2 linked regions of the Canis lupus familiaris genome follow. The protein of the gene in region 2 purifies or fractionates together with the protein of the main gene of each other region. This does not show direct contact. Links are inferred from orthologs where the notes say so. Each region holds a gene or a part of one and is shown on either strand. Other genes may lie near its edges.

What was found. Proteins that work in one complex are often made in the same cells at the same time.
Region 1: the proteins of PLRG1 (region 2) and SF3B1 purify together in Homo sapiens (co-immunoprecipitation; 3 studies listed by BioGRID and IntAct, with this or other methods). This does not show direct contact. The link is inferred for Canis lupus familiaris from reciprocal best matches to the Homo sapiens genes PLRG1 and SF3B1.

What each region holds. Positions count from the first base shown.
Region 1 is NC_049258.1:6,838,866-6,843,972, reverse strand, and holds the start of SF3B1 (splicing factor 3B subunit 1), read left to right. Parts: upstream 1-2,030; 5' UTR 2,031-2,161; coding exon 2,162-2,189; intron 2,190-5,107. UniProt on the Homo sapiens protein: Component of the 17S U2 SnRNP complex of the spliceosome, a large ribonucleoprotein complex that removes introns from transcribed pre-mRNAs.
Region 2 is NC_049236.1:52,571,072-52,575,956, reverse strand, and holds the start of PLRG1 (pleiotropic regulator 1), read left to right. Parts: upstream 1-1,704; 5' UTR 1,705-1,850; coding exon 1,851-1,859; intron 1,860-3,167; coding exon 3,168-3,274; intron 3,275-3,563; exon of another isoform or gene 3,564-3,635; intron 3,636-4,306; coding exon 4,307-4,449; intron 4,450-4,885. UniProt on the Homo sapiens protein: Involved in pre-mRNA splicing as component of the spliceosome. Component of the PRP19-CDC5L complex that forms an integral part of the spliceosome and is required for activating pre-mRNA splicing.

The sequences.
Region 1 (5,107 bases), on a different chromosome or scaffold from region 2:
TTTCTAGAAATCTGTACACCCAATGTGGGGCTCAAATTTACCACTGTGAGATTAAGAGTCGCATGTTCTTTCAACTGAGCTGGCCAGGCATTCCATCTTTTAATATATTCCTTTTGTGTATTATAAAAATGTGCTTATAGCAAAGTATCTGGAAAATACTAAAAATTATTTTTAAAGTTCATAATTTCACCAGTCATAGGCATCCACTATTAACACTTTGGTGAATTTCCTTTGCATATATTTTGACAGGACAGTGATTGTCTTGTATATACAAATTTACCTTTCTTCTTTTTTCTTTTTTTTCTTCCTATTTTTAAATAAGAGCCAAGAAATGCCATGTCCTTGTGATTCTTTTTGTCAACATGGATTTTTTTAGATTGTTGATTATTGATGGATCATAACACCCTTCTGTAATTCTTTATTTCCCATTCATCCTTTTTTCATTATTTTAAAACATGCTATTTTATATATATAAAAGAATATGTGCAATCTATGTGTAGGTTATAAACTATGTAAGGAATATCTGTGGGCACTCTGCCAATTCAACAACTAGAGTTTACCAATAATTCATAAAATTACATGTTCTTGGGACGCCTGCATGGCTCAGGGGTTGAGTGTCTGCCTTCAGCTCAGGTCGTGACCCCTGTGGTCCCTGGGATCCAGTCCCATGTCAGACTCCCTGCAGGGGGCCTACTTCTCCCTCTGCCTGTGTCTATCTCTCATGAATAAAATCTTTTTTTAAAAAAACAATCTACATGTTCTCTTAACCCTTTCCTCCCTCAACTATTGTTTAACCTAAATTAAAACAATTGAAAATTGAAAATTTTCTCTCATCAAATTGATTTTTTTCATTGATACTAAGTCCCATTTTTGTTACTAAAGTTTCTACTAAATACTCATGTTGTGATCCTGTTACACAGCCAGGCAAACGTTTTTGGTGATAGCTCTAACCTTAATCCTTACCTGTTTCCTTAGGCTGCTTCCTGTACCAACTTCCCCTCAAAGTTATGTTCTTTTTTAATCCTAAAGTCCAAGGCCAGTGTGGCAGTTCAAAATTATGCTTTTGTAATTGAGGAGTAGGCAAAAAAAAAAAAAGAAAAGCCATATTTGGAGCTTTTAAAAATTCCTGATTCAAGAGTGACATTTAGGATTAAGAGAGGCATTCCAGGGATCCCTCGGTGGCGCAGCGGTTTGGCGCCTGCCTTTGGCCCAGGGCGCGATCCTGGAGACCCGGGATCGAATCCCACGTCGGGCTCCCTGCATGGAGCCTGCTTCTCCCTCTGCCTGTGTCTCTGCCTCTCTCTCTTTCTCACTGTGTGTCTATCATAAATAAATAAATAAAAATTAAAAAAAAAAGAAAGGCATTCCATCAGTGTTAATGCTGACAGCCAGTGGTTTTCTAAGAACCTATGAAATTAAAAGGCTTTAAAAAAGGACGGCACAGTTCCTCCCGGGTAATTCAGTAAGGGTGTGACCTTGCATATTTTATTTACACCCCCGCCCTAGTTTTCCTCTCCTTTCTTAAATGGGATTAGCAACAACTCGCCCACTTTCCTGGGTTGTTTGTGAGGTACAACAGTGTCTGGAAATAATAATGTTGTGCACGAAACTCCTACCCAAATGGCAAGTAATTCTTTAAGAAGAAAGAAAAATGACCTTGAATTTCAGCGCGAAGGACGTGACTGGTGTGTGTCTCCACAACTACCCACTGCAGCCGCTGAGAGACGCCACAGGAGCTCTCGCCTGGCACCGACACACCTCCGCTCGACGTGGAGGACGAGAACTGACGGCCTGAGGCTTCGGACGGGCCTGAAATCCAGCGTCTCTCGCAGTGACTATCAGCGGGTCCTCGCACAACCCACTTCCCTCCAGAGCAGTCGCCGTCGCCCCCGCCCCCGCCCCCGCGTCAGGACTCGCTTAGCCCTCCTCCTCCCGCCACCGCGAAAACCGCCTCCGCGCCGGGCCCTGGCTCCTCCCCCTCCCCCACAATGCATCGCTCTGTTCCCTCTAGGCGGCTGCTCCGTCACGTGTCGCGCGGCGGCGCGCGCCCCCGCTTGGCGCACGCGCAGAGAGCATTCCCCAGCTATTTTTCTCCGTGGCAGCGGCGGCGAGCGGAAGTGCTGGGGAGCGCCAGTTCCGTCTGTGTGTTCGAGTGGACAAAATGGCGAAGATCGCCAAGACCCACGAAGGTAAGGCGTCTTCCCGTGCTCCCGCGTCTTCTCTGCTGCCAGCCTGCCAAGACTCGATTTTACTCGGTTTTTGCCTCGGCCTGTGGTTTCGTTGGTGGGGTGCCGCGCCCGCGCGTGGGGGCCCTGGTCGGCTCCTCGGCGCTAGCGGCGCAGGCCACTGCCCCACGTAATGGCGTCCTACTCCTCCACCGCGGGCAGGCGCTTTGTTCCGCGTTTGGGTCCTGTTCCTTCAGAGTTGCTTCTCTTTTCCGAGCGGAAGGCCTCGTTCAGACGGCTCGCCGGGGGGGAGGCCAGGGCCGCGAATCGGGGAAACGGGCGTGAAAGCCGGGAGTCGCCCTCGCCTCACGGAACTGTGGCGGGCGCAGTTCGTGCCCGGGGGAGTCGGGGGAGCCCGGGAACACGGCAGCCGCTTTTCGGCAGCGCCAACTCGAGCGTAGCCTGCTTGAGGCCCGTTCCTCTTCGTCTCGGCTAATCAGGCATCTAAAATACTTTTTTTTTTTTTTTTGTATGAAGTGATTTGGACATAAAATCTGGTAGTTTTTTCTTCCCGTGATCACTTGTATATTGGTGTTTGTTCCCCACCCCCCCCCCTTGGAGACTGATGATTGGTGGAAGAGGGAAAGGCACGTTATTATTCCCAGCGGTCAAAGCTTTCGAGGTACCTGATCGTTTTGTGGAATTCGGAGAACACGGAATTTAGGAAAATGCTGAGAATAAGCCGGAGTTCTTGAGGGAGTATCCAGTTTCCAGAAATGACAGGAAATAGGGTCACTTCAGAGAAGATGAGGCATGGGCATTGGGAGGCGCGTTCCTTAGGATTTTTTTTTTTTTTTTCTGACCTGGAATCTGAAGCGTTCGTCGAACGGGAGGCTTCCAGGAGTCATTTGTATTTTCACGGGTCGTTTCCAGGTGCTGGCTCCGTGTGAGTCCGAAGTAACAAAGAGTAAGGCCGTGCAAAGTTTTACAGGCTCCTGGGGAGACAGGTGTGTGTGTGTGTATACGTTTTCATTCTTTCATGAGGCAAATTAACGCTTAAATAGAAATACAGGCCGCATGTTCTGGGATTCTGGGTAACGGAGTGATTAATTCCTGCCTAGGTAGGACTCTTCCATAGAGGAGGTGACGTGTCCCTGGCCTAAACGGATCAATCCGTTTTAAATTAGGGGAGGACATTTGAGCCTGAGAGGACATCTTGTAACGAGGCAAGGAGTCCTGAAAAGTGTGTTTGAGTAGTGGACTGTGGCGCTGCAGGGAGGGAAAGTGTAGGCGAATCTGGAAAGGTTGGTTGGGACCAGGATGTGAATGCCCTGGAATAATTGTGTTCCCCGCCAGAACTGAAGTCCAGCTCTCTGCGACATGCTAATTAATGGGCAGTGACTTTAATACTCTTCTCGTTGTGGGGGTAGGTATTTAGGATTTATTTATTTATTTTATTATTATTTTTTATATTTTTTTATTTATTCATGAGATATTTTTTATTTTATATGAGATATATATTTTATTTTATTTATTTATTCATGAGAGACACAGAGAAAGAGAGGCAGAGACACAGGCAGAGGGAGAGGCAGGCTCCCCCACAGGGAGCCTGATGCGGGACTCGATCCCGGAACCCCAGGATCACGCCCAGGGCCAAAGGCAGGCACCAAGCCGCCGAGCCACCCGGGCTGCCCGGTATTTAGGATTTAAACACTGTTTTAGCCCTGAAGGTTGTTTAGGCACTTACTCTTCTGTCTTTAGACTAATCCGGATGTAACCTTTTGCAAAATAATTAGAAACTGAAGATGTTGCTCTTGTTTATTCAGGAGTAGGCTGTTCATTGGGGGCAGTTTGTGGCTTTGATCACTTGTTTGTTGATATTTTTAATCATAAAGATACTTTTGGACAGGGAAATCAAGGTTTGGATCAGGTTTCCTGCTTTTTTGAGACTCAATTAAAAGCTTTGGTCTATAGAAGATTGAAGTTGATTGGCCAAGTTTGCTTTTTTATTTGGAATCTTGCTACAGTATGAATTAACTGATGCTATAAAGAAAGTATAGCAGTATTCAGTTAACAACAGCACTGTGTATAAGACAGTCTGTCACTGTGAGTTTTTGGTAAAGGATGATCAATGTTTAGTGGAAATATGCATAATATTTACATAGAGATACTTTCCTAAAGATCTGGAATGGTTCATGGTGCATCTCTTCTCTTTTCCCTTAATAAGTCATCTCTGATAGCCTGGAGCAGATTTCTTGGTGGGTTTATTTATTTATTTATTTATTTATTTACTTACCTAGGTGCTACTGTAGCTCTTTATTATACTAGAATATTCTATTGTGTTAAGGTTTTTTAAAAAATATTTATTCATGAGAGAGAGAGAGAGAGGCAGAGACACAGGCAGAGGGAGAAGCAGGCTCCATGCAGGGAGCCTGACGTGGGACTCCATCCCGGGTCTCCAGGATCACGCACTGGGTGGAAGGCGGCGCCAAACTGCTGAGCCACCCGGGCTGCCCAAGGTTTTCTTATCCACGTTGAGACTGATGTGTACAGGAACTATTTCTTGGTATCCCCAGTACCTAATGCCTAATGAGTACTGAGTATTAACATTTATTGAGAGATTATATTGGAAATATTAAAAGTTTCACAGAAAGGGGCCGCTTAAACTCACTTTTGAATGATTGGGTAGGTTTGGATACATTGTTTGGCTGAGGTAGGTGGGAAGTAGGACTTGTTAATGTATTGGGAACCTTCTGCGCTGAGAGGAAGAAAGGTTTGCATCAAATTAAAGAAAGCTTTGAACTCTAAGTTAGGCTTGACTTGGCTTTCCAGTGACTACAGAATAAAGTACCTACTTCTCCCAGGTGACAAGTTATTTCTGCATTTTGGGAAAGTCTTTAGTTGCAGTGTTGAAGAGTGGCAGTAAGAGCAGCAATTCTTAA
Region 2 (4,885 bases):
AGTGTCCACCAGGACAGAGGTTCTTAATCTTTCCAACGTCCTAGATTTTTTTAGGAATCCAAAGAAATCTATAGATTCTTTCACCAGATAATGAAACAAACAAAACTCAGATTCTGGTATAAATATAAAATTTTCATACAACATAGGTAATTCATAGATCCATGAGCTACATAATTGGGGAGCTCTATCTATCTAAAACTTTTGGGTAGATAATATAATTCTACAGATTCAAGAGAACTTTTTAAAAGAAACATAGTCTAGTGTAATTTATCTCAACTATTACAATGTTTGATGAGTCTGGGTTTATACAATTCTTTCCTGGATGATTAACATGTTAACAGGCCCCAACTAGACAGTTATTATATTGCCATAGATATATTAGAATCTTGTTTACATTTCTATAATTTCATCACCTTTAAAAATAGTATTCTTTTGTATAGTTATCACTATCTATGAGGAAGTTAAAATATGATGTAGGTTCCCAAGTACATATTGCACCATTATAGAATTTCTTTATGAGGCCCACCACCAGTGGCTACTGCTGCAGAAACTCAGTAGGCCAAACTCACTCAAATTCAAACACGATTGTATTTTCAAGTAGAAACATGACCTTAATGTTTTTGATTAATTAAGAATCAATGTACATCCAATGAGATTAGCAATTCACATTGATATACTTTTGATAGGATTTTATTTATTTATTCATGAGAGACACAGAGAGAGAGGCAGAGAAACAGGCAGAGGGAGAAGCAGGCTCCATCCCTGCAGGGAGCCCGATGATCAGGGACCCCAGGGTCACATCCTGGGTCCTGGGCCGAAGCAGATGCTCCCCCACTGAGCCCCCCAGGTGTCCCTCAATAAGACTTCTTCCCTCTCCAAGCCCATGCGGTATGCTGAGATCAGTGGAATTGATTAGCTTAAGGAACAAGCAGGGCCAGTGAAATATTTGCCTATCGGATTTACAAATGTTCAACTCCTGTTTGCATAGAAAAGTAATGGGACAGGCTTGATCGAAAACTGCATTTTACCTAAGACAAGACAATATAAAATACTGCTATTTTGGCACTAGGATGTGTATAAATAAAAGTGGCTCGAGTCTTCAGTTGTGTCTTTCTTCCGCCAGCTTTGAAAAGCTGCCCTTTGATACTGTCGACGCCACCACGTTCATTAGCAGACTGGCTGAAAATCGTGCGGTTTTGAGAGATTTAAAAAAAAAAAAATCTATGCAGCGTAAAAATAAATGTGGGGATTTGCCGTACAGGGCTACAACAAAGATCTTTGCACACTTTCTCAAATGCAAAGTGTTCCGCAACATCCGGCCGCCAAGGGTTAACGGGACAGCATCAGCGCAGGTGCTCTCGGCAGCCGAGGCCGCAGCGCGCGGAGGCTTCCAGGCCGGGCAGCCCCGCGGCGCAGCGGGAGCCGAGACGTCAATCAGGGGAGCTGGACGCGGACCGGGATTCGCTCTCTCCAGACCCTCCCTAGAACGGACTCCTTGGGTTCGCTGGGAAAAAAAATAAAATTAAAGGATTAAGCTTGGGGAGGCACAGCGCAAACAACCACACCCCTGAACCGAACTACTTAAGTCCGAGCCGAAGGCTCTTCCAAGACCTCCTCCGGGACGCCGCTGAGCCCCGCCCACCTCGCCGAGGCCACGCCCCTCTGGAGAAAGCCCCGCCCCTCGATCCCAGAAGGCCGCCGGGCGGCTACCGCGCCTGCGCGGAGGCCCCACTTCCGGCGCCAGGGCGCTCGATTCCGGAAGGGCTGCGCGGCGGCGGCGGCGGCGGCGGCTTCTGTGTTGCGGGCTGGTGTCCCTTGTCTGTTGGAGCGGCGAGTCGCACGGCAGCATCATGGTCGAGGTAAGGTGGCGCTTGGTGCTGAGGGGTCGTTGGCTTCCGCGGTGTTTTTCCTTGGCGGCGGGCGTGGGGGGGTGTTCGCGGTTTGGGGATGGTGAAGGCTGCGGAGGGGGGCTGTCTGGCCGAGGCCGGGTGGTCTCTGAAGGTTTTCAGGGGCAGAGGAAGGCCGGGTGGGAGCCCTGGCTGGACGTTACCCGCGGCCGCGAAGCCCGACTGAGTTTCCACGGTCCGTATTTGGCTCTTGAGCGTCGGGTCTCGGCCGGGCCCCCGGAGGCGCCGCGTCCGGCCCCGCGGGGTCCCCGCCTGCAGAGCAGCGTCAGGGGCTGTGTGTCCTGAGGCGGGCGGTCTTCCTCCAGCTCTGCCCCCAGGAAGACCTGCCATTTTGAAGTTTTGCATCAAACTGTTAGCCAGCCTTGCCCGTCTCATCTCAGAAATACTTCTGGAGCCTTGTCCAGACCCACTGCCTTCGCCTTAATTCAGATCCGGCGTCATCCTTCGTCTGCACGAGTGCCTTAGCTCCCTGCTGGTGTTCTCGCTTCCATTTCTTCGCCCTCTGCAAAATTGATCTGTTTAAGATATACGTTGATCGCGTTTTTTTCTGCTTAAAATCCTTCGCTGGCCAGATGTCACTAGAGCAAAAGTGCAGACTGTTGCAGTGATCCTTTAAAAAAAAAGAATCCTTAACCTAATCTGCACCTTGTCTACCCTTGCAACCTCATCCCAGCCTCACAGTCCACCTTCCAGTGGAACATGCACAGTTCTCTTGCAGCTCCGGCCATCATTGCAGCCACCAAACCCCTGTGTACCTGGCATTTCCTCTCTGCCTGGATTGTTCTCACCTCTGCTCTGCACGAGGCTGAATTTCTGCCTAAGGAATACCTCAGAGAGATCTTTCATAACTATCCTAGGTTCTTTCTTGGCTTGCTTCCTTCATAGCACTTATCAAAGATTTGTTGCTTATTTTTCGTTTTCTCTTGAGCACTGGGACCATGGCTGCCTTGTCATCATTCTTTTGTTAGCTTCTAGCACAGTGCCTGCCAGACACATAGTAGGAACTCAGTAAATACTTGTTCGAATCAATGGCTAAGCTCAGGCATCACTAATTGGTATACCTGGGGCTCTGGCCATTGAGGAGCTTCCTCCTCCTCTCTGACCTTGACTTCTTCTATCGCTTGCTACAAATAGCTGTGGTGAGTGGTACAAAGCTTTTTACATATTTAAATGTGTAAAGTGTATGGCTGCTTTGACTTAATTTAGGTTGTGGTATGTGTCATTTGTAGCTAGATATGTGATTCTGTTCTTTCTTTTTAGGAGGTACAGAAACATTCTGTGCACACACTTGTGTTCAGGTCATTGAAGAGAACCCATGACATGTTTGTAGCTGATAACGGAAAACCTGTGCCTTTGGATGAAGAGAGGTAGGTATTGTTCCTTTTCAGTTACTGGAATATGTAACTTCTAATGTTGGGGGAAGAGAGCAGGGAGAGGGGGACCTTTAAAGCTTAGTGAGTGATACTAACACTCGTAGGATGTCTATTCGGTAATGAATGGTGTTTGGGCATGATTTAAGCTGATTTAACTTTTTTTGGCCTTGTCTTTCACAATAAAAAGTCCCATTAATTAATTGCATTTATAAATACCCAGTAATTAGGAGAGTCCCTTTTAGGTGTTTTATTTTATAATCAATCACTTTGTATGTGCTTTCAGCTTCCCGCTGCTCTCAGAGCCTTGCTGAGCTGAAATTGTACCTGGCCAGTACCTCTACTCCCATCTTTTCTCGTTAGTATGATGAAGATTTTTGAGTGGTGGCATATTTTTGGTTCTACATCTCCAGCTCCAGTCTGGGATTGCATTATGTGCAGTGTTCCTTCTTTGTCCTTTACCCTTCTTTTAAAATCTACTTAATTCCTAAGACAAGCATTTATATTTAATTTATTAAGTGAGCTGTTCTTAAGACTAATATAAGTGCATTTCTTTAAAAAATATTGAACTAATTAACTACTTTGATTAGTTCTAATTGGTCTTTTTAGATACATCCAGTAAAGGTTATGATAGAAGCTTTTACTGTGTTTTTATATTGACACATTTGAAGGAAAGTGTATTGACTGAGGTTTTTAAAAGGATATATTAGTTTCTATATGTTTTTAAATCAGACCCTTGGTAATTTATCATGAAAGGTTATATATTTATTGGTTAACAAATTAAAATGCTACTTAGACTTAATGGATGCTCTGTGGTGGATTGGGAACAAAAAAAGTGTGGAAATGCACTTGGAAATTCCAAGCTTTTTAAAATACTATTTAACTTTAAAAACTTCATAGAATTTTTTCTACATGATTAGGCAAACCTAAGCTATTTAAGTACTTGTGTTCTTGGCTGTCTATATTTCTTTTGGCTAATATATTTAAAGCACTCAAAGATACATTCTTATGTTCATAATTTTTAAATAGTCACAAACGGAAAATGGCAATCAAGCTGCGTAATGAGTATGGTCCTGTGTTGCACATGCCTACTTCGAAAGAAAATTTTAAAGAGAAATGTCCTCAGAATGCATCGGATTCGTATGGTCATAAGCAGTATCCTGCCAATCAAGGTGAGGATGTATTATCAGAAATGTCAGGACTTACATGTGAATTTTCAAAATGAAAAAATGAAATGTTTTAGTGCCCATCCCAGGAAAACTGAATAGAGCCATACCCTATTGAACAACTATACCAGTATTATAACGGAAGTCTTGATTTCCTCATTGAAGTAGTGAGTTGAGATTATTGGTTGGTGGATTTTTTCTTACAGGAAATAAAAATGTGATAGAATAATAATGCAGAAAATCTTAGGATGTACAGGTGGAGACTAAAGGAAAAATTTGTAACATACGGAAAGACCGTCTGTTTTGGCTGTCATTCAGAAAGGTGATTCTAAGCACTAAAATTGTAGTGAATAAAGATGATCTAAGATTCCTTTTTTTTTTTTTAAATCTAAGATTCCACAGAAAAATCATTTGCATGGGAGAAAAACCAGAATGGGGGTTG